Linked DNA regions of Rhinolophus ferrumequinum. Each later gene encodes a partner of the first gene's protein in a complex. Links are inferred from orthologs where the notes say so. Each region holds a gene or a part of one and is shown on either strand. Other genes may lie near its edges. The genes, in order: YEATS2 and DR1.

Region 1 (12,601 bases):
TTAGGCAATGGAAGAGGGGCACTGGGAGGGGTTTTAAACAGTAGAGTGAGGCGCTCAGATTTGTGCTGTAGAAAGTTGACCCCTGCAGTTGAGATGTATTAGAGGGGGAGAGTAGGCAATTAGGAGGCAAGGACAGGAACCCAGGTCAAAGAGGGAAGGCACCTGACCTAAGAATAATTTAGAAGATGGATTCACTAACACCTGAAGACTAGTTGGATATGACCTCTGAGAGCAAATGCATGGGGGAAGCCAAAGATTCTATCTCAGATAACTGACTGGGTGGTGAAACTGCTAACCAAAAGAGGTAAGAAAGGAGGAAAAATAAGCTTTGGATGGGGAAAAAAAAAAAAATGAGTTTAATTGTGGATCAGCTGAATTTGCTTCAGGGCCATGCAAGGGGAAATGTCTTAAAGGCATTTGAAAAAAATGGTCCAGGTTCAGGATGGAAGCCCAAATTCAGTGGTCTAGATTTAGACCTCATTGGTACGTAAGGGGCAGTTGAAGCTGTGAACATAGAGAAAATTGTTCAAGAAATGAGAACAGACCAAGGACAGAGGACATAGACACTTCAGTATTTAGGCATAGGCAGAGAAAGAGGAGCCTGTGATAGAGGTTGAGAAAGAACTACGGTATCAGAGACGTTAGGGGAACAAGGAAAGAAACATACTGAAGAAATCTCGGGTGTCATACAGGAACATGCTTTCTGCAAACCACAGACAGCCTGGACACAAGTTGTTTAAATACATAAGTGATACTTGTCTTACATAACAAGTTGGCAGTCCAGGCCTGATACAAAGGCTCAACAGTGTCATTCAACGCCCAGGCTCTTGCCTTCTTTCTGCCCCACCATTTTTAATGTGTTGGCTTATAGTCTCATGGTTGAAGGATGCCTGCTGTACCTTCAGGCAGCACATCCAAATTCAGGGTAGGAATAAGGAGACAGAGGGGCAAAGGCAGGACTAGCTACAACTCTCCACTTTCTTTGGGAGCCTCTCTTTGTATTCGTTGAACCGTGATTTCATCTTCTTGGCTAGAAGTAGGTTACCTGGTCATTCCTGGCTGCAAGAGAGGGCAGGAAATTGAGTGTTCAACTTCCCAGTTTTAATAGAAGAAGACAAAGAAGGAAGCGTTAAGAATGGTTATGAAGGGGCAGCCAGGTGGCTCAGGTGGTTGGAGTACTGTGCACCTAACACCGAGGCCACCAGTTCGATTCCCACATGGGCCAGCGAGCTGCGTCCTCCACAACCTGACTGAGAACAATAATGGCTTGACTCAGAGTGGGGGGGGAAGGGGGAAAAAAAAAGAATGGATGTGAAGTCTGCCAAACTGCTATGTATGCCACGTCTAAAAGGAGAGAGTTATAAGAAGAGGAGAGATGGGGTGATAAAAGGAGAGGAGAGGTGTAGCTTCTTAATCCCATGGTGTTGCATGAATAAATCTTTTATACAAAATATTAAGGTCAACATAGTACAAACATAGTATAAGCATAATACAATTAAGGGTCAAAAAAAGCTTTCCCATGTATCACATCCAATATTATGATTTGTTTTTGACTTTAAAACAGACTTCCTGCATTTGGGGCCATCAGGAACCAAATTCATTCTATACACAAACTCTGAGTACTCAAATTCTCTACTTGGTCTTACCTACCATGAATAGAAAATAAAGCAGCAGGGAAAATTCTCTGCCCATTTCCCCTCTATTGTTCCTTTTATAATGTAAATAATTCTGTTCCAGGCACATTTATGGCTGTTCTGACATTATTGCTGCTCAGCTGGGAAACACCAAACCTGGATAGATTTACTCTGAACATATGAACAAGGCATTTTACAAGCATAGAAGGTGACACATAATTGTCATACAAAGTATGAGTTTGTAGATTAAAAGTTATTACACACGTGGTATGTTTCACTGCCAAGGTCAATTTATAGAAGATTGCTCATCCCTCCCAACTAAAAATCCCCTGTTCACTTGCATTGAAGGAATCTGAGAATTGATTACAGGGGCAACGTCCCCAAATCTGCCATTCAGTGCCCCATTATGAAGGCCGAATACGATTTCTAACATCAGGGTCAACAGAATACTAGCACTCTGGACATTACTTGATTTTTGAAACCTGAAAAATGCAACATTATTTGTTTTGGCTGTTTAGGCCACCAGGAGCCTATTTTATTGGGGAATGAAGGCTATTTACTGTCAGGACTGTAAATGTTGACTAAGAGCATTTGGAGGCAGTTCTCAAACAAATGGGGCTTTAAATCTGAAGCCAGGAGATCACAATAAAAGCTAGCAGAAGATAATACCGTAAATGCCACCAAGGAAACGAAAGGATATTAAAAATTCTGTCTATTATAAATACACTCAGCACTAGTGTCATTATTTATCTTTTATAACAGAGAGCTGTAGTGTGGAAGTCTAATTTACAAACAACAAGCAATAAATGAAAATATCCCAGTATTGTGTTAACTGGGCACCTAAAAGCTGATAATGTATATAAGGATATGTAACCAAATTAAAATCAAAATTCTTCAGTCTTTAAAAATTTGAGTTGGAAGTTTAAGTGGAACTATTTTTATACATTCTCCTCTTCACATTGCCCAAATTCCACCAGCACCATATTATAGCTGAAATTTTATATTTACTTTACCTTACCTTTACAAGTAATTTTCAGACATTTTTAGCATCTGTCCAGAAGCCTCTCTTTTTATTTTTAACAACTTTATTGAGGGACGTGCTTCTGCTATGAACATTCTTATATAAATTTTGTGTGGACATATGCTTTCATTTCTCTGAGGTATTTGCCTAGGAGCGTAACTGCTAGGTCATGTGGTACCTCTGTGTTTAACATTTTGAGGAACTGCCAAGCTGTTTGCCACAGCGGCTACATGCTTTTACATTCCCATCAGCAATGTACGAGAGGTCCAAGTTCTCCGTATCTAGAGGCCTCGTTTTTATACAAAACAAAGAGAGAGTCCAACCAGTTCCAGCCATAGAATGTTTCCTTTCAGGGCAAATTCCACCTACCCCTCCTTTTTTTTCCATGAATGAAAACACGTCTTGCATCATCACCCTCATTCCCAAAGACTGTAATTCTACAGTGACTGTGCAATCCACACAGAGAAGCACAATACATGGCTTCTTTTGGGTTAGGGTAGGATCCAATAGGATCTGCAAGAGTGGAATTTGGTTTTGCCAAAATCCGAATAGGACAAACAGACATTTGGCTTCTTGTTTGGACCTAGTTGGAGACAACGATTTATTTCTAACTGCCTAAGTGTAATTCCCAGACACTAATTACATTAATGGTTTGCTTGGAGCTGTAAATAAGTGAGGTCCTCATTTTACATGTATAATTAGTATCTGCACCCTGGTAGGGGAACCTCATTACATTAAGGGCTCCAGAGTTCCCACTCCTGTTAATCTTAGGAAGGGTGGTTGGTCTTCCCAGGGGGATGTCCGGGATACCTGGGGCCTGGGAACGCTTGGTCAGTTTAACTACAGTTTTCCATCTGAGCCAGCTTCCCCTCCCCCTCTCAGGCAGAGCTTCGGGTTCCCCACCTTTCTCAGGCTTTCCTTGTTTCTCTGCTGCAAGAAGCTGTTTGCCAGCAGTTGCCAGCATAGGTTCTCCCCCACCACCACCCCCCAAACTACTGGCTCCTTTTCCTGGGCCAGTGTCAACACTACTGGAAACTTCCTGACTAACTTTAATATGAGTTGCTTTTCCTTTCATTAACACTGTACATTTAACACCCACCCCACCCCCACCGCACCCCATCCCCCACTCTGCTCCACTCCCCAACCCACCCCCACACCCCACCTCTAGTGACTGTACAGGTGAACAATGCCTGAGGAGGCCTGGCCAAGGAGGGGCCTGCAATCCAACGTCCTGCCACTCGCCGAGCTGTGTGCCCCAGCACAGGTCTTTGTCTGCTTGAAGGATGGGGAGGCTTTTCCTCATGTGCCACTTGACTTAGCAGGGCCAGTCTCCTTTCCTTTCCTCCCTGGTCTCCTCCCCGTTCATTACCAAGTCTCTCAGCATTTTCTCCGCAACTATTGAATGTATCCATTTCCCTTCATTTCCACTGTCCCGTGTAAACCACCTTCATTATTCACCTTTGCCACTCAAATTGCTTTGCAACTGTCTGGCTGCTACTTTGTTCACACACCTTCCCAGTCATTCCCCACCCATTTGCCAGGGTAAGTGATCTTTTTCTAAAGGGCAAGTTGAATACATTAACTCTCTGGCTTGAAACCCTTGAAGGCCTCCTGTCGTTCTTACCATAAAGATCAAACTCTTCCCTCCTGCGTGATCTTGCTCCTGCCTAAGTCAGCCCCATCCCCAGCCCCTCTGCTCTTGCTTAAGTTTCCGTGGACTTCTCACCTGGTCTCAGGCTTTATGGTGACTCAACAGCTCCTACTGCCTTCAGGTTTCGTTTCGTATTTTTTTCAGGGAGTCCTTTTCTACCTTCACACGAAATTTGGTCCCTCTGTGCTGTGCTTTCTGAGCACCGTCCGTTTCCTTCACAGAGCTTATCTGTTGTTGAAATGTACAACACTGCATGCATATGTGTAAAAATCGGTAGCTATGTTATTTCTCATGGGCTCTAATCACTACAACTTTGGGGATTGGGCTAAACTTAAACTTGCCAAGGAAAGTTATCTGGTCTTGAGCGCCGCCAGCACTTTTGTCTACGCGGCAACCAAGAGGCCCTACACCATTGTCTACTTCCCTGTTTAAGGGCGCTGCAAGGCCAGGCGCATGCTGCTGTCTGAGCAGGGTCAGAGCTGGAAGAAGGACCTGGTGACTGAGGAGAACTGTCCGTGGAGCCCTCTCAAGGCCTCCTGTCTGTATGGGCAGCTCCCCAAGTTCACCCTGTACCAATCCAATGCCATCCTGAGCCACCTGAGCGTCTCCCTCGGATTCTATGGGAAGGACCAGCGGGAGGTGGCCCTGATGGACATGGTGAATGACAGCATGGAGGACCTCCGCTCCAAGTACGTCACCCTCATCTATACCAACTATGAAGCGGGCAACAAGGACTATGTGAAGGAACTGTCCCCGCGCCTGAAGTCTTTTGAGACCCTGTTGTCCTCGAACCAGGGGGACCAGGCCTTCATCATGGGCAACCAGGTCTCCTTTGCAGACTACAACCTGCTCGACTTGCTGCTGAATCACCAGGTCCTGGCCCCCGTTGCTTGGATTCTTTCCCCTCGCTCTCCACCTACATGGCACCCTCCGTACCCCGCTCAAGCTCAAGGCCTTCCTGGCTTCCTTCGAACATGGGAACCTCCCCATCAATGGCAAGGAAGACAGGGAGGGCTTGTGACACCCTCAGCAGGAGGCAGGGGCTGCCTGCTTCCCTGTCCCCAGAACGGATAAAATTTCCAAGAGAGAAAAAACAGTTAATTGATCTTAAACAGTCTCATTTAGGGTAACTATTTCGTCAATGCACAGTTGCAGTCCTGTCAGAACTTTCACCTCTCCCCTCTTGACTTCCCAAGATGGCCTGTGGGATCCAAGGGAAGCTCCAAGGCAGTGGCAGGAGGGGTACAGAACTGTGAGCTGTAGCCTGGGTCCTCACTGGCCTCCCTGGTCACGCCTGGTCACTATGGCCCTGCTGGCATCAGCTGCTGAGGTTGCTGGCTGGCAAGCTCATCATCTGTTGCTACGGCACTTTGAGAATCTAATGTCTCACCTTCCCCGCTCCCACACCTCCATCCCTTCTCCTCTCCCCAGCTGACTTGGGAGCACTTCAGCTCGTTCTATCCTTGGGGTCTTAGCTCCATTCTCCAGCCATTCCCTGCCAATGAGTCCTCCCTCCACTGCCTCTGGTCATCACCTGGTACCTGGCACAGCGCCCATTGGCCTGTCCATGGCTCTGTCTATTTGTCTGGCAGGGAGCATGCAGAGAAGGCTGGTTTTCTGGCACACCAGGTGCAAATTGTGGACACCATGCCGCATTTTTTGACTCCTCTCTCTTCCCAGTGCTGCTCTCTGTTCCCAAGTCCTGCTCAATGGGAACCTTCTGCCAGAAATGGGCAGCCTTTCAAGCTAGGCCAAAGGAAGTGGGCTTCTAACACTCCCTCCTCCCCCTCTTCCCCCCCCCCCACTTAGCTGGATACTTCTATGCCCCTGCCTCAGGGTTAGACCCCAAAGTAGAGGAACACTGACACACTCCTGCTGACCTCTTACCCTACGTCTTTCTCCAGTAAAAGTATTGTTATCTCCCAATTCCTATTTTCTCTTTGGGTCTTAGCCTAAGGCTCAAGGAGGCCTTTCCTAGACTTTCACATTAGATTGACTAAAATGAACTGTTTTGTTCATTTCTGATTTTCAGTGCCTGACGCAGTCTTGACACAGTGCCAAAACACAGAATAGAAATGCAGCAAAAATTTGCTGAACAAATATTATCAATCTCATTTACCCTTAAGGTCAGGAGTAGACGTTAAGGTCAGAAGGCTGGGGTGACATATTATATTCTATTCCCTTATATTGCAGGGTTTTGGAGTCAGTTCCTGGCCGTACTATTCATTCATTCAACAAATACTTTTTGAGCTCATGCTATGTGCAATGCACTGGGCTTGCTATTGGAGATAAAGGAGTAAATCCCTTAAAATATTTTTAGTAAACATTATATACATCGAAAAACTTAATAACATATATGTAAAGTATAAAACAATTACAAAGTGTACCCCCTCTAAACCTACCACCCAGCTCCAAAGGTAAAATCTTTACACAGGAGAACAGATTGAAGGGGGACAGAATCAGATCCCTGGAGACCAGCTGGGAGACCAGAGTAGTCTTGGGAAGAGAGATGAAGGGGTCTGGGGCAGGGTGGTACAGGAGAGGGAAAGGAAAGTGTGGACTTAAGATATTTAAGAGGAAACCTGGACTTGATGGATTGTCACTGACTAGTTGTGTGACATAGGTAAGTTCCAACCTTTCTGAGCCTCAGTTTCTGCATCTGTAAAGTAGGTTGGCAATACCTATAGTTATCTGTGTCTCTACTACTTAGGCACAAAGCTTGGTACGAGATGACACAAAAATCATAGCTACTGCTGTTATTACTGTACTGTAAAAGCTTCACAAATGCCGGCAGAATATTCTGTCAAACTTGGGATTGGGCTGCGTCATTTCCTTCTAGGGAGGAAAAGGATAAATGACAGTGACTCTGCCAGAACCGATCCCCAGACACCCCACGAGGAGCGGCAGCGCCGGCCAGGGTCAGAACGTGGGCCAGGGCCAGCCCCCCTCTCCGCCCCTCCCGCCCGCTCCCGCCCACATTTCTGCGAGCTCCGCCCCCGGGTCGCGCGCCCGCGCGCCGCCGCCACCGCTGCGCGCACCCCGTCCCGCCCCTAGTGGTGACGTGCAGGGCCGAGCGGGCTGCACTGAGCTGTGTGCTTCCGCGGGCTCCGGGGTCGCTGGAGCTTCGTGGTGGGGCTGCTCTGCAGGGCTTCGCCCGCTCCCTCCCCTCCGCGGTGCTCTCCCCCTGCGCGGCCTGCGCTTCAGCCGGAGACCAGGGAAAGGGTGAGTGTTGGCGGGAGCTGGATGGGACCGGCCGGGTGCGCGCTCCGCTCTCCCGGGCTTTGTCTGGGCGGGGGCGGCGCGGGCACGTGCGCGCCCCTCCCCCACCCCTCCGGCCGCGCGGCCCGGGTTGCGGAGCGGAGGGAGGGGCGGATGACTGCGGAGGGGAGAGGATCTGGGGGGGAGGCTGGATCCAGGCTGAGTGTGTATGTCCGGGAAGTGTCCGAAGGGGGAACCCGGAATTTGGGTATGTCTAGGGGGGACTCCTTTTCTAAGGGGCGCAGCGCTTTTTGAGGGATGGGGGTTCCTTGAGCTCCAGTGGCCGGAGGTTTCAGGATGATAAGCTTGGTGGCCTGTGATGGGATTAGTGGTGAGATTTGGCCCCAGGACCAGCAAGTTGTGGATTTACCAACAAGAATCCTGGAATCTCCCTCCAACCTGTCGCCATCCTAGCCGTCCTCCTCCCGCGTGAAGGATGAGTAGGATTTAGAAACGTCGGAGGATATTCCAGGGATGGTGCCCAAGTTAAAGCAGCGGAGGTGTGAGACAGTGCGGGGTTGGAGTGGAAAGCATGGGACAGTGAGTACTTGGAAGAAAGGCTGGTTTGGTGGGTTGTGGCCAGATTGCAGAAGACAATGAGGTTTATATCATAATATTTGTTTTCTGTTACGAATGTACTTACATTCAAAAATAGAAAGTAGAGAAGGAAAATATCACCAGTAATCCTACAGCCTTGGCACATCATGTTTAGAGTCGATATGTTTGCTAGTAGTTTCATCTAAGCTTGTAACAGTTACAGTTAGAGATTACCTACAATTTTCCATTCCCTTTTCTCCTTAGCATGTAAAAATGCGATGTAACAAATAGTGTTCAGCAATATCATTTCCTCTTTCTTAACAACCAAGTAGCAAGTATTCATCATGGGAAAATTTAAAACTACAGACAAGCAAAACGAGAAAAAGTACCCATAGTTTTCCTGTCTACAGATACTATCATTGAGTGTATATTTTTGGCTGTGTATATTCTTTCAAAGATAGGAGCAGATGATGCCCTGGTTAGGAATCTGGTTTCTATGGGAATCCTTTGAAGATTTTGAGTATTAATAGGTAAGGAGCATAATCTGACAGAAGAGGGCAAAAGTGGAAACTGGGAGACCAGTTAGGATGCTGTTTGCAGTATCTTGAACTAGGTCCATGGCAATGGAAAGATTAAAAAACATTTTTGAGGAAGAATGAACAAGACTTGGAATAAATGGATTGGTTAGGGAAAGGAAGAAGTCTTTGCTTTTCAGTATTTGTTTTTGAGCAACTGTGAGTAGACGATGGCATTTACTGAGAAGAATGGAAGAGAGAACTTCAAGGTGGGAAAAATCATTAGTTTTGTTTTGGATGTATTAAATTTGAGGCGCATATTAGTTTTGAAGTTGTTATGTTGACGAGGCAGTTGGATGTACAGGTTTGGAACTCACAGAAGAGAGACTAGAGCTGGAGATAAAAATTTGGGAGTATGTACTCAGTTATATGGATGATATTCCCATTTATGAAACTATATGATATCACACAGGGGAAGAGTATAAATAAGTGAAAATCAAGTCTCAGGCACTCCAATACTTTGAGGTCTGGTAGAGGAAGATTGAGCATAGGACAGAAAGAAAGAGTGAGTTAGGGGGAAAAGCAGGAGACTGGTGTCACGGAAGCCAAGAGAGGTAAGTGTCTGGAAGATGGAGAGTTGGTCCTCTTATCAGTGTTTCTAAGATGTTTAGTAAGATGCTCAGTTGGATTTGAAATCATGGAGGTTGCTGGTTTTGGTCATTGGTAGTACTTAACTATCCAGAGGTCTAAAGTGGAAACCACATTGGAATAATTGAACGGGATTGAGGAAATGAAGACAGTGAGTGTGAATTAGAAAAAAGACCGCCTTCAAGACACCTATTTCATCTGCCCCCAAACTAAATTTGATAGATAAAAAATGGTGTCTTGTTTAATTTTTCCATTCCTTGATTACTAATATGGTTGAAGATTTTTCCACATTTATCGGCCATTTGTGAATTTCTGTTCCTGTCCTTTGCATCTTTTTGTTGGTCATTTTCTAATTTATTGTTAAGAGCTCTTTAGGTTTTAAAAATATGTAGCTTGACATAGTGTTTGCAGAATTTCCTCCCTTATGTCACCTCCCCCTACCCCCGAATAAATGCACTTATTACATGTGCTCCATCAGGAAGGATGTGGTCGATAATGGAAAAAAATGTACTTATCATTTAACTCTTATGTATACTTTTTTTTAGATTGTGGTGAAATACACATAACATGAAATTTACCACCTTAATCATTTTTAAGTGTATTAAATACATTCGTAACATTGTGCAACCATCACCACCATTCATGTCTATAACATTTTTCATCATGTAAAACTAAACTCTGCACCCATTAAACAATAATTCCCTATTCCCTTCTTTCCCCCCAGCCCCTGGCAGCCACTGTTCTATATGAATTTTAGGATAGGTTTTCTATTTTTGCAGAAAATGTCATTGGGATTTTGATAGGGATTGTACTGAATCAGTGGATGGCTATGGGTAGTATTGACATTTTAACAATATTAAATTTTCTAATCCATGAACATGAGTTGTGTTTCCATTTATTTAAGTCTTTAATTTCTTTCAGCAGTGTTTAGTAGTTTTCATTGTACTAATCTTTTACCTCCTTGGTTAAGTTAATCCCTAAGTATTTCATTCTTTCTGATGCTATTATAAATGAAATTATTTCTGTGATTTCCTTTTGATATTGTTCATTTGACTTTGTATTCTGCTACTTTGCTGAATTCACTTATTAGTTCTAACAATTTTTTTGTGGAATGTTTAGGGTTTTCTCTACATGCAAGATCATGTCCTCACATAATAAAGTGCCTTCGTAGTCAGTGGATGCACTATAATTTGCTATGGACTGTTGCCAGTTTCTTATTATAAAATGTATAAAATGTAACACTTAAGTTGTAGATCTGTGAATATAGCCCACGTGTGTGTCCATCACCCTGCCTCGAGAGTATTTCCGTAGGATACGCGTAGATTCTCAGAAATACTTGATCTCATTCTTGGAAATACTTGACCTCATTCGACCAGAGATTTTTATTTGAATCTTCATTGTCACTTCCTTAAATTGTCCCCCATCTCCCTGCCTTTAAACCTTTCGTTCTGTTTTCTACACAGCTGCCAAGTGGAGGGTGAGGGATGATGCACTTTTTCCTCGTAGAAGACAAGACTTGTGAAGCAGATTGTTTCTGTATCATCAGTTCTGTGGGGGTTAGAAAAAAGAGTTTTTGAAGGCCGGAGTGCACTTCATGGATGAGTTGGAATTTAATTTGATTCTTTAAGGATGAAGAGCATTTTACTAAGTGGAGAGAAAGTAGAGGTGAAATATGAACCCATTGGAAGGTAAACATGAGGTGTTCAGGCATGTGAGCTTTGATGACTGCAGACGAAGAGAAGTAGAACTAGTTTTCCTAGGCAAGGATTGTTTATTCTGTTTATCTGAAGAGTGAGCCAGAGTTACGGAGACATTGGTGATTTTTATCTATTTGGAAAAATTAGTTTATTTTAGAGTATACATGTACTTCTATTGAGATACAATTCATATACTGTAGAATTCACCATTTTATTGGGTATAATTTGGTGGGTTTTAGTATATTCAGAGGTTGTGCAGCCATCATTACTATCTAATTGCGCAACTTTTCCATCACCCTAGAAAGAGACCCCATATCTATTAGCAGTTATCAGTCTCAGTTGCTGCCGCCCTCCCCTCACCCCTGGCAACTACTTTTTGTGTCTGTGGATTTGCCTGTTTGTGAACATTTATGTACAAGTTTTGTATAGACAAATGCTTTTGTAAACAATCTAAATGTCCATTAATAGGTCAATAGATAAATTGTGATATATCCATACAATAGAATATTGTTTACCCATTTCTCTTGGGTAAATACCTAGGATTGGAATGGCTAGGTCATATGATAGGGTATGTCTAAGGTCTTAAAAAAAACTGCCAAACTGTTTTCCAAAATGATTATCCCATTTTACGTTCCAACCAGTAGTGCATGAGAGTTCCAGTTATTCCACACTCTCCGTAATTGTGTTCTTTGTAACATATAGAGAAGTAAGAAGAGAACAGAGACGTAAAGACACCTGTAATCTGTCTTCCAGATTAGTCCTTTTGGCATTTTCCTCAAAATAATTCATGTACATGGTAAAATAAATCAAACGTCATAGTCAGGAAGAAAAATGAAAGGCAGACTCTTCGCTGCATCTACTGTGAGGATGCAGACCATTCTCAGCAGTCAGACTGGACGTCCCAGAAAACGTGGCCGTCACTCTGAAGGGACCACAGTTACTGTGAAGGGCCCCAGAGGCACCCTGTGGAGGGACTTCGATCATATCCACGTAGAACTCAGTCTCCCTGGAAAGAAAAGAAGAGGCTCCGGTGACAATGGTGGGGACATAGGAAGGAACTGACTCCTGTTCACACTACCTGTCACGTGCAGAACACGATCGAGGGTTACATTGGGCTTCCAATACAAGATGCGGTCTGCGTGTGCTCACTTCTCCATCAATGTCGTTATTCAGGAGAATGGTTCTGTTGAAATCCGAAATTTCTTGGGTGAAAAGTACATCTGCATGGTTCAAATAAGGTCATGTGTTGCTTGTTCAGTATCTCAAACCCAGAAAGTTGAGTTAATTCTTGAAGGAAACGATATTGAACTTGTATCAAATTCAGCTTCTTTGATTCAACAAGCCATAGCAGTTAAAAGCAAGGATATCAATAATTTTGGATGATACCTGTTTCTGAAAAAGGAATAGTTCAGCAGGCTGATGACTAAGATCTAAGCTATCCAGCTACAGAAACACCAAGGTGTCAAATGATTCCTCAGACTCTTTTGTGATATTTTAAAGATGCAATCAAAGTCACATACTGAAAAAAAAAAAGGCAGAACCATTACCCAGAGGCAGTTATTGTTGTTTTTTTCTTATTTATCTTCTAGAAAAACTTAAGCACATACCAAGCATTTCTTTTGTCTCTTTTTCCTCTCGTT
Region 2 (12,464 bases), on another chromosome or scaffold:
TCAGCCAAAGTAATTTCTTGGCTCATCAACCTGGCAAGGTATCTGAATGAAGACCCTTAAGAACCATATTTTCTATGGTATCACTACTTCCGGCAATCTGGGACAATGAGAGACTGACAGCAGAACAGGAATCAAGTATCATTCATCTTTATATCCTTGGCAGTATCCAGCACAACGCCAAGAACATAAGAACATAGCAGTATTCAAAAGTAATTGTTGGGTGGCAAAAGAAAAACAAAAAAAATCTCAATTTTAAGGAAAATAATAAAATCCTAACTTGAAAAGCATTGATTACGTGATAAATTGTGCAATGCACATTATATATCTCTTTGGGAAAAATATCAGTATGGATGATTATTTAGGCAATACAATATCATTCTCATTCTCATTATTATTACAATTTCTCTGAAATCACTAAGATCCTCTGATTTCAAAACTACTTCACATCCACTTTCCAAAATAGACGGTGGTTTAGGCTTTAGAGCAAAACTACTCAAAGTATGGTCCATAGACTTGTGCCAGAATTGCTTGTAATGGTCTGTGATGAGTTAAATATGGAAATTCAAAGTACCCATTTAAGAACCTTCATAGCAAAACAGTAACTACATGAGGTGTTAACTAACCTTATTGTGGTAATCATTTCAGGATATATACATACATTAAATCATTACATTGTACAACTTAAACTTATACAATGTTATATATCAATTACATCTCAAAGTTGGGGGGAAAAAGAAATTTCATGGCAATTTGAAAGAGTAATTTTATGTCTATTGAATCTAATAACAAAAATTGAACTTTTATTTGTATCTTCTCTTCTTGTTTTCCTAGTGATCCATTTTCACTGTATTTTACAAAAGTACTAGTGTGAGAGGGACTAGAATTTTTAAAAAGGCACTCAACATAAATAGCTTGGAGCAATTCAATTGCTGAAGCAAATCCTCAGAAGACTTCTTAAAACTTTCACTACTTTCAGTTACTATTCTCATAAATGTGAAAAAAAAAATGAAGCAAGAGATTAAAAATGCAGAAAGAAAGTATCACTTAAAATATTATTATTTATACTTTAGCTTTACAAAAGGCATCATGACATAAGGTTAAACATAACAGACTGTCAGCTTTATGTTTTAATCAGTACTACTGTAAAATTTTTTTAAATTATTATTTACTACAGCATTATTTCATGTAAGGTTCTCAACTCTGACTGATTCTCAATAATTGCAAGTTATACCTGAAACCATTAAGTATTATTTATACACAAATGGGGAAACATTTAACAGATTTACCTAAGGTGAAAGACTTTCCAGAGTAGAACTTGCAGCTCTTGACTCTCAATGTCAATTCTTTCCATAATGTAACAGAACATGTTAGAACTCATTGAAGAATATGTGTTCACAGAAACCAGCAATGGAATAAAAAGAACACTTTAGAAACCCCTCTATTTGTGTATTTGTGATCTTCAATACCAAGTCTACTTTCTTAAACTCAAAATAAGCAAGACATTAAGAAAAAAAATTTTTTAAATCTAAGTCATAGTATTTCACAGATTTAATGGCAATGAAATTACTTCAACTGTAATTTGAATTTTACAGAACTGCTTCAAATGCTTACTTTGCTCTGATGAGGTAAAGTGGCAAGTGAACAAATGTCCTAAAGCGAAATCTAGTTCATTAAACTTACTACTTAAAACTGCAAACTTCAACAAGTGAGACTCATATCACTTTAAAATATACATTATTATTCCACTTGGATATATCCTACATTCCTACCGTGTTTCCCTGAAAATAAGAACTAGCCAGGCCATCAGCTCTAATGTGTCTTTTGGAGTAAAAATTAATATAAGACCCGGTCTTATTTTAACATAAGACTGGGTCTATAATAAATATAATATAGTACAATAATATAATAAAATTAATATAATATAATACTAGGTCTTATATTAATTTTTTCCTCCAAATGACGCATGAGAGCTGATGATCCAGCTAGGTCTTGTTTTCGGGGAAACAGGTAAATAATCAATGCTGACAGGAAGTGTAAAAAATGTCATATCTACCATGATTTACTAGCTTTCCAGAGTTAGTCTGTAAAAACACTTTAAACACCTAAAATATACAGACATGAAAAATTTCTTTAAAAAATTTTTAACCACTCAAGACAAAAAAAAATCTTTAAAATAATTAAGCAATATGAGAGTAATATGAGATTATGTGTATGCATAAAATCTATTCCCCTAACGGGAAAATTTGGGGCAAAAATGGTAGGTCTTCATCCACTTAATATCAATACTACAAGAAAAAAAGGTAAATTTATTAGACTATAACAGGTCAATACATGATTTTTTAAAATTAATAAATCATACTTAGTACACAAAGGAAAATGCTTTCACTGGAACTTTCCTAGTTGTTAAACTGAATTTAGCATATTCCAAAGTTGAGGCATTTAGCATACTGCTTGCTACAGCTGCACTTTTATTCCATCATGTCAATCAGAAATCTAAATATATCCTAGAAAAGAATAAACTCTACCCAAGAAGACAGATTGTATGTGTTATTAGATTTTTGGAATGATACCCACTTCTGTGGTGTAAACAAATGTTTAGGCAGATCCTTTAGAAATCTTTTGCAATTTGCAGTAAAAGGCAATGTTGATAAAAGATCCTTTTTCTTTTTTATGAGTTGTAAAAGGAAATTATAGCTATCTGTGTTGGATAATCTTGAGAAAGACTTATGACAACAATTGAACATATAACGTGAAAATAAAAAAACACCACAGGAAAAATAGACAACTTGGCTTTCATTTTACTTGCCAGGGTATGCAGCATACCAAACAAGTAGAAAAAAATGGTAGCTTTAAAATTAAACATGCTTTTTCCTAGGGGCTTATTTTTTTCCTTATGTACTGAAATGGAAATGGCAGAGTATAATTTATATCTGCCTTCCACACATCATTCAAGATCAAAAATGAATCATTTAATCCTTCCGTCAATATTGACAGTAAAATATTGGATATGGTGAATATGAGCAGATGTATTCTCTACTTCAGAATAACAGGAAAGTCAGCTTTTAAAAAGTTAAGTTATAAAAATCAAATGGTAGACAACCACCAGCCTACTCAAATGATTAAAATTAACCATGATTTTTTTCTGACTTCAAAAGCAATCAAGAAATTGATAGATTTTTAATTGGATTATTATAAAAGGCAAGTTATAACCTCAAATTGAGTGCAATTTTTTCATAATGGTGTATGTGCTTCCCGAAATATTGTGACTAGTAAATATGTCTCCCCATCCTTGAAACACACCATCAGAATACGGTCTCCCAAATCCCTATTACTGAACTAAATCCTTTCCAAAGATAGAAAAAAACTGTTGCAACTTTCAGAAGTGCTGTTCAATAAAAGCTTGAGTGTGAACATCTAAATGGGAATGGGGGCAGGAAAGAACAGGGAAATGTTCCATGAAAAACACCTCTTACAATCTCTTAAACCAGGCTTTAAAAATTTATCTCCATAGAACAAAGGGAGCTACACAGAAGAAAAAGAGAAAGAAGGATGGGAGAGAGGGGAAAAGAAAAGGACATTCACCCTTTTCTTACAGAATAGAACTGGAGTGCTTTGGTAACTTGTGGATGAACGGTTGGACCATTAAACCATTTTTAACGCAGAAAATAGACTCTACTCAACACCAACAAACTTGAAAACGTTGAACACACTCCTGTTAAAGTTTTTTTTTTACTCAGGTGGTCAGAAAACTCATCTTGTTCTCTACATTGGTGAAGAGATCGGGTGCGGAAGGGGTGCTGTCTCTGTTCATACTTGAATTTCCTGTCTGAATTTTAATTTTCCAAGGGAGTACTTTTGGATTCCTTTCTCAGATGTTCTGATCTACGTTTCAATTTCTCAGTTGTCATGTATAGGTTCCTCTTTAGGCAGGCAAAATCCTTGTTGCTTCGGCTTACCTGGCTGTAAATTGAAACGACTGCTAATACTTTACCTTTGGGGGATGTTAGCTGACCTAAATGCTCGCAATCCTTACTTGTATTGGCTGGTGAAAAGTACCACGAGCATACTACATAGGAATTTGTTGAAGGCACCCGCTGCCTCCATGCCCGCGTGGCTTTTTCATTTTCCAGTACTGATCAGAGGAGAGGAATGAAGGCTTTGACATGAATGAGTCACGCGACTAGCAGGCTGTCCCCGGACCTTCACTTAAACAAAATCCCACACGTAACACTTACCTTGTATGACATGCTCTGGCGAGATGGTCTTCTTTTCAGATTTGTTGCAAATCTCATTGGCTTCAGAAGATATAAGGTGAATGAATTCAGTACAGCAGTTCACCACCAGCTCCCGGGCATCGTTGGCCACCCGGACATTGGGGAGAGTCTCTTTGATCATCTTATTGATAGCAGCTCTGGGTATAGTGAGATCATCATCGTTGCCAGATGAGGAAGCCATCGTATCTTCCTATGTCTCTCGCCCCGACTTTTAAGAACTCCCCAGTTCTGGTCCACTACTCCACAAAGATTTTTCAAAAGGCCGCCCTCGGAGAGTGATCCCGGGGGCTCTACGAGAAGAGGGGGCAGAAAATGAAGGGGGGGCGAGGGTTGGCACCAGAGGGCAGGGAACACAGCGTGTGTCAGTCAGATTTAGGGCGAGGTTCGGAGGAAAGTCGCGGGGCTGAGAATTCTGCCCCAGGGCGGGCAGGAAAAGAAAGGTGGTCAGGAAATTTGAACACCAGGGAACACCTTCGTGTCTCCTCAGAGGGGCGGGCGCTGTCGCCCAACCGGTCCCCAAAGGTGCCGGAGCAGCGGCAAGGTTCAGGGACACTGGCCTCGCTGAGGTATACTGGGCGGACACCCAGTGGGCTTGGCTCTACAGAGCCGGAGCCCCAGCTGCCGCCGCCGCAGCCGCCAGCAGCCGTTGCCGCCGCCTCAGCCAAACCATCCTTCAGACACCCACGCCGCTGCCTCACAACATGTCGGCCGCGGCCGCTGCTGGAACTTGGGCGGCCGCCTGGGAACGAATACGGACAGGGCCAGACACAAGGGAAGCAGCACTGGCGGCCGCCGCGGTCGTTTAGCCCGAACGCTGATCGTGGAAGCCGAAGCCGCGGCAACGGTGGTCCCTCCAGAGGCCAGGGAAGAAGGTTTGTGGGAAGCTTCTCCCGACACCCTTTGCGCTACCGGAAGCTTCACCCCCCCTCCCTCCTTCCCCACCGAGTTCCGGGTGTGGCTATTGCCCTTCCCCCACCCGCGCCAGCAGGAACCTCCCGGCCCCGCGGCCCCCCGCTTCCGCCAGCCGCGGTCCTGGCACGCGCCCGGGCATCCCCCCCCTCCTTCATGGGGACCGTAGCAGGGCGAGCGCGCGCCCCACAGTACCGGAGAACCCCGAGTACGTGCTCGCTCTGGGCTGCGGCGCCAGACTCGGGATGGAGTGGGTGGGTGCGCCGGCGAGGTTGGATCGCCTCTACGGTCTCAACCAGCTGAGGCTTCGAAAGCCTTTCCCAGCTATGTTCAGGGACAAAGGAATGCTGGCTTTTATTAAAAGAACTCTCTTTGCTGTTCCTTAAAGGAGCCCGAACTGGGCTAGAAGAGGAACGAGGTCTGGGCTCGGGAATAGGATATGAGAAAATCAGAAGCCGGTGTTCCTGTGTCTGCACAGTCCGGAGGAAAACCTTTTGATACCTAATAGACGTTATTCGGATCAAAGCTCTTTTTGGTCCTCCACCCAGTTTCTCGTTTTATGAGAAACAAAACATGCTGAGAAGTGACATGACCTCCCAGTCACTACTAATGGCTAAACCGGAAACGAGAAATAAGATCCAACGTAGTGGAAATGCGTAGCATTAAGAGGTTCCAACTTAGCAATTTTTCATGGTGTATTGCACGTTGCCTTCTGAAGAAACGGGGGGGGGGGGCGGTGGGGAGACGGGGGAGGGGGGGAGTATGTTACAGTGTCTTAAGCAGCTCTGATTTTTGCTCTCCAGGGTAACTAGTAACATCAACGTGTGTCAAGTTCTTCATAAAAATTGCACTATTTTTTAAAAAGCTAAGTTTTTCATACTGTCATTTGTTAGAAGAGTCTGTGTTATAAATGGTTGTTGCAATTTCTAAAAAGTAAACGAGATACCATTTAAATCTGTTTTGGCACTTTAGTTAATCAAATACATTGTTCTTGATACATTGGACAGCAACTGGCTTGTTTGAAATGTACTCTTAAAACGTTTTATTTAAGAAAGACCCTAGATATTTTTTTTCATTTAGCATTTTCTCCAGCACACTTGCCAGTTCTTTCATTTCTGAAGTGCAGACGCTGGGTTTTCAATGCAATTAAGTTTAGCCAAACCAAAACTTCTTTGATAAAACAATGTATTTGACAATTTTCTTCAAAATAAGAATGTGAAACTGTTGGCTCAGTTGTTGGCCCTTTATGAAGTGTTTATGTAAGTCAGTTTACAAGACTGTTGGTTTCAAGAGTTACTATGCTGTCTAAATTCATCTTGGCCTCACCAAGTTTATCCGACTGAAAAAAGCTAGCAAACATGTCCCCAGTTATCACATTTGTCACTGACCCAAATCTTGTCATTCCTGAAAAAATAATTTTGCTTTTTTATGTAACGTTTATACAATGTAGAACAATAGGCTTATGATACATACGTACATCTGAAGAGCACACATGTTATTCCAGTAATAGTTTATTACTACAGGGTTCTGTGGTAGCATAAGCATGAAATGTGTAGTAGAGACCTAGGTTCCAGTCCCAGTTTTTTGTTACTTTAGACAGGTCACTCTCCAAGCCCCATTTTCTTCAACTAGAAATGGAATTATAACTCAGGATTCAAAGTCAAATGAGACCATATGTAAAAGCGCTTTTAACATTATGCAGTATTTAGATGTTGGTGTTTATTATTATCTTTATCAGGTCTGAGCGGTCTTCAACTATTAATAAACCATACATAATATGGCTGAGAGAAAATTTAACTAAATATAAATCGTGTGGCACATGAAATATGCTAATCTGGATCCCACAGTTATTTACAGTACAATAGATCCTTATTATAAATAGGCTTTTGAAAAGAAGGATAACAATGAGCTTTAAGACTTTTAGTGCATATATATGAAACATTATTTTTCTCATGGTATTCCAAAATTCATGATATGAAAAGAAACAGCTGTTTTGTATGGTGAATTAGGCTAACTCTACAGTAGTTATCTTAAAATGTGTTAATTCATAGATGCCTGGATTTTCAGCTAAAATTACAATCTATAACGTTTGTAATTTGAAGCTTTACATTTTAAAAAAGCAAATAATGCTATCCTTTGTGCTAATTTGTCATTGCTAACACACCAATGGCTAGTTGTTGGTAATACAAATTTAAAAAATATCATGTGTTACATGCTTCTTTTGTGATTGGCACTGTGCTAAGTACTTTTACCTAAGTACTTTTACCTTTATCATTTCATTTAATCCTCAGAACAACCTTATCTTATAGATACTGTTTCAGTCTCCATTTTACAGATAAAGAAAGTGAAGCTGGGAGAAGCTAAATAACTTCCCTGAAGTCAGTATAGCAATTGGGATAGGCTAAATTATGTTGCAAGAATCTCAAAAGGTTTATTTTCTTGCTCATTTTCTGGGTTCATCCTGAGTCAGCAAGAGGACTTACCACACAGTAATCACTCAAGAATCCATTGGAACTGTTAAAAGGAAGTAATGAAGGAGCCTTGAAATACAGGCTTTTGACAGGTGGAGAAAGAGGAAAAAAGTATTTGTGTTCAAAGTAATGATACGAAGTTGTGTAGACAGAAATGGTGAGAACAGTAAAGAGATCACTTTAATTGAAGTAAAGCATTTTTGTTTAGTGAGAGAGAGCCAAACACATGAGGCAGCAGAAGTCGTGAGGTAATAGAAGCTGAGAACTAGAGAGGGAGAAGAGAGAGAACTCACTTGTAAAAAGGGCAGTAGAAGCAGGGGCAGAAGTTTTAGGCTTCAAATAATTATGTCAGAAAGACCAACAAAATAAATGGATCGCTAGAATGTTGGTGTACTCTTTTGAAAGAGACAATACGCCTCCATGAAACAGTTTTCTGTGCTTCTTTCTGTGCATCTTCATAATACTCTGCTAAAAATTCCATTTTTATTCTTTACAACTTGAGAGAGCCCAACTCATTCAATATCTTTGGCTTCAGATCTGGGTTTGATTCCCATTCTGCCACTTAACTAACTTGGGCAGGGTATTTAAGCTGTATCTTGATTTTTCTCCTCTATAAAATAAGAATACATGCTTCACAGATGTTTTAAATCTCAAATGAAATAATATATGCAAAGCATTTAGGCCAGAATTTTAATGCTAAATAAATAGTGGTAGTTGCTAAAAAATAATCATTACACTGATGATTATTACTGCTAGGAATGGAATAATGGGATTGAAAAGAAAGGTGATTCCAAGAACTATTTCACAGCAAGAGTTGGAAGAACCTGATAGTTTGGCTCTTAGATAGTCAAGGAAACAGACTAATCAAATATAAGATTTTTAGCCTCAGAAACTGGAATTAGGGTAGTGTCAAAAACAGCAATATTGAACGGGAGCTTTAGAGGAGAAGTGCTTGCTTTTGGACATGTTTTGATTTGAGGCAATAGTAGGCATTTAAGGAAATGATATCTTGGAGGCAGTAGAAAGGGAAGACAGCATCTGATTCCTACATTCATTCAACACCTGAGTGTCTACTGTCCTAAGTATGGTACAGGAGAGAGAAAGATAAATATAACATCCTTCTTGTATTCAAGGACCCCACAACCTATTGGGAGAATCACAGTATAAAACAGATTGAAATAAAATACTGTGATAAACATGTAAGCTAAGAGTGTGCAGAGGAAGGAGAAATTCACAAACCACTTGTGAGGTACAGAGGGCTTTAGAGAGGACTCAACATTTTAACTGAGCCTTGTGGATTGAGTAGAATTTTGATAGAAAAGGAGAGAGTGTGCAGCTGAAGAAGAAACACAAAAGTACATCGTATAACTTGGAAAAATCAAGTAACCTAGAGAAACTTCCCATTTAACCTTGTTTCTCTAGTTCCCTGTTACAGTGCCTGGCACACAGGAGACCCATTAAGTAAATGGGTAAATGAGTAAACAGTTTCTGCTTCATCATGAGAACATACTCAGGCTGACTTGCTGGAAGAATGTGAGAGACAATGGAAAAGAACAAAGCCCTTTCTAGACCTGATGACAGACAGCTGGTCCCAACATGAGTGTTCAGCCAAACTTAGTAGAGCCACTTACCCAACCCACAGCTGACTCAGAAAATGAGTAAACCCAGCTAATTCCAGAAGAGTTGCCCAACTGAAAATGCACAGACTCCTAGGAAATAATAAATGGTTATTGATTTACTCCACTGACCCTTGAGGGGCTTGTTAGGCAGCATTTTTGTAGCAATAAATGACTGGTACAATACCTGTGAGTTAGGTTTCACCTGTGGATCATGAACTTAAGAGCTTTGCTAGCCGAACAAAAGATTTAAAATCCAGCAATTGCTTGAATGAGTCCCACTGTGAATGTGAAGAATGGAAATATTTATAAAACAGTAGAGATAAAATTTGTCACTACTTGCTAATATTTTACAGTTAGTATAAGATATTTTAAAACCTAGGCTAATTTAAATTTTTTAAAAATACCTTTAACAAAAAAAAAAATCAAAAGTAAAATCACCAATACCTCTCTTTTCCAACACACCTATGCTAATTTTTGCATGTTTCTATTCAGCCTTACCCATGTGTATGTGTATTTTCATATAGTTCTAATAACAGTGTTGTATTTTGCTTTAATATAAAAGGAAAAGTACCAGCTGGGACCAGCTGTCTGGCCTAGAAAGGGCTTTGTTCTTTTCCATGGTCTCTCACAGTCTTCCAGCAGGTCAGCCTGAGTATGTTCTCATGATGAAGCAGAAACTGTTTACTCATTTACCCATTTACTTAATGGGTCTCCTGTGTGCCAGGCACTGTAACAGGAAACTAGAGAAACAAGGTTAAATGGGAAGTTTCCCTTTCCATTGAGGAGCTTATCATCTAATGGGAGAGACAGGCAAGTAAACCAGAGACCATAGTGCAGTATGCTAAGTGCCATGATTGTGGCGTGACAGGCCCTATGGGTACAGTGGAGGACCTTCCAAATAAAAATGGTTAAGTATGGAGTGACAGTCTTACGTGTCACAGAGGAGGTAATCCTTGAGCAAGTTTTCAGGAGGAAGGGGAAGGAAATTTCATGTAGGAGAACAGCAAAATCTCAGTGAGACAGAACGTCATGGCATTCATGGTGAAGTGCAATATTTTGGTGAAGGGTGGAGGGAAAGGAACATGAAGGAGCAGCATGAGAGAAAGCTACTCAGGGAAGTGTAGTAGTTAAGATTCTTCTGATTGCAACTAACAACTCCAGCTAGTTGACTTTACCAGAAGGATATTGGGGTATCTTATAGAATTTGGGGAATTGTTGTATAACCAGGGAAATTCAGTAGCCGGAATCCATAAAATGCCCTCTTGGCGGGTTGTAAACAATTCCCATCTCTTTGCATCTTGGTTCAAAATGTCAGTTTCCCAGGAGAGCAAATCTGTTTGGTGGTTTGGGTCAGATTTCTACTCCCATGTCACTCAGCCATGACTGACTGCAAGTTATGTGTGTGGCTCTTTGCTGCTTTTCCGCCCCTGTGCTGGGGAGGGAGCTGTCACTGTGAGCTGTGTGGCTAGTCTAAGAGGTTTCTGTTGTGTTTTATTATTTAGTTACCTTTCCCCACATGTGCAATGACAAAAATGCTGCCAACCTATGTGATCCAGTCATTCTAGTACAACAGCCCCTGCACTTGCTCTCTTTCTACGCCCAAAGGTACATCCAACTAGTGGAAGGAACATCTTGGGGGTATTGATCTTGTAGTTCTGATCTCTGGATGTAAAATACCTATTTTTCTTCCAGTTATGGCACAGTCATATCTAGGTGTGGTTCCTCGTGGTCTTGTAAGCGAAGAACTAAATGGTAAGTATAATTACTATCAGTACACTCTATAAATAATTGCTGGGGCCAGCGGTTGCAGTGGTTGCTACAGAAATAAAGAATAAGAAAACAGTTATAGTTCTTGTTTTCATAAAGCAAAAAAACAGGGTAATTTTTCAGTCATCCCGCAATATGTATGCAGACTTTTAATTCCTGCTACTGTTAATGAGGTTGTAACTGGTAAATATGACGACCCATTCCAAGTTTCCTTGTTTGCAGCTAATACGGCAGCTGACTGAGGATGCTGCCTGCCAGGGTGATTTAAGCCTTCATTTCTAGAGGTCTAAGCCCTTGGTAATCATCAGCATCAATTGTGTCAAACTAAACAAAGGCAATGCAACAGATTGGAGAATGACCCTGAGGTGGAATGACTGGGAACTCATCAATATTTGTTCAATAACTGGTTTCTGTTTTATAGATGAAGCTGAAGCACTGAGAGTTTAGAATAACTCTCTGCCTATTCCTACACTCTGTCATTAAGTGACAGAGTCAGGATTTAAACCCGTACTACCTGTCTCCAGAATGAACCTTCTACGTAGTTATGTCACACTGTCTCTGCACATTCAGTGTGGAGCCTGAGTGGAGGCACTGGGCCTCCACACCCAAGATTAATTTGTTTTAGCTCTTCATCTGTAACTAGCCTTGTCACCAAAAACAAGTACTTATTTTTTTCTAAGTTTCAGTTCTCCCCCGCCCACTCCAGTTCAAGCCGTTGTTTCTCAGTCTAGTTGTGTAGGACACAACTCCCTAGCTCATACTGGTATTATGAGCCTTGCGCTCCCCCGGGCTGTGGCAGTTGGTTGCCGGTCATCGGTAGGTTGCTCACAGAGGCTCTCAGAGCCGTTATGCTCCAACCACCTGAGCCACTGGGCCGGCCCATAAGTTTCAGTCTTTTCATTTATACAATGGAGATACTCTTTTGGCATGGCACAATGCCTATAATTTGATAAGTAGATTTGTTAAATGTTGACTATTATTATTAATTCAGTGAAAATGTACTGAGCCTACCATGGTAGGCACTATATGTACGCTGATAGGCATAATTCCTCTGCTCATGGATCTCTCAACAAACTGAACCACAGAATAAAAATAGCAATGTGTGGGCCACACATCTGCCTCCCTCACCTTGGATTATGAATACCAAGACTGACATGTGGGAACATAACAATGATTGTGAACTGAAGAGGACAGATAAGGACAGAAAACAAACCTGGGACAATCAAACGTAAAGGGAGCAAGACAAGAAACGGGTGAAATCATGAAAACTCCCAAGAGAAAGAGTATCGCCTGGTTTTCTTAAGCCTAGCATGTAAGTCTGGATTTTACAAGAAAAGTGGAGGGAATTGATCAAGAGATTCTTGTCAGAACAGGAAGTTAGTAGGTGAAATGAGAAATGATTTGTGAGAGACCTGTGGAGATGG

Evidence for each region.
Region 2: YEATS2 (region 1) and DR1 share a complex: the UniProt entries of both Homo sapiens proteins name them as parts of the ADA2A-containing complex. The link is inferred for Rhinolophus ferrumequinum from reciprocal best matches to the Homo sapiens genes YEATS2 and DR1.

Annotation. Positions count from the first base shown.
Region 1 is NC_046285.1:61,255,943-61,268,543, reverse strand, and holds the start of YEATS2 (YEATS domain-containing protein 2), read left to right. Parts: upstream 1-7,325; 5' UTR 7,326-7,528; intron 7,529-7,704; exon of another isoform or gene 7,705-7,772; intron 7,773-7,907; exon of another isoform or gene 7,908-8,104; intron 8,105-12,601. UniProt on the Homo sapiens protein: Chromatin reader component of the ATAC complex, a complex with histone acetyltransferase activity on histones H3 and H4. YEATS2 specifically recognizes and binds histone H3 crotonylated at 'Lys-27' (H3K27cr).
Region 2 is NC_046292.1:70,524,752-70,537,215, reverse strand, and holds the start of DR1 (protein Dr1), read right to left. Parts: upstream 5,179-12,464; 5' UTR 4,456-5,178; coding exon 4,236-4,455; intron 1-4,235. UniProt on the Homo sapiens protein: The association of the DR1/DRAP1 heterodimer with TBP results in a functional repression of both activated and basal transcription of class II genes.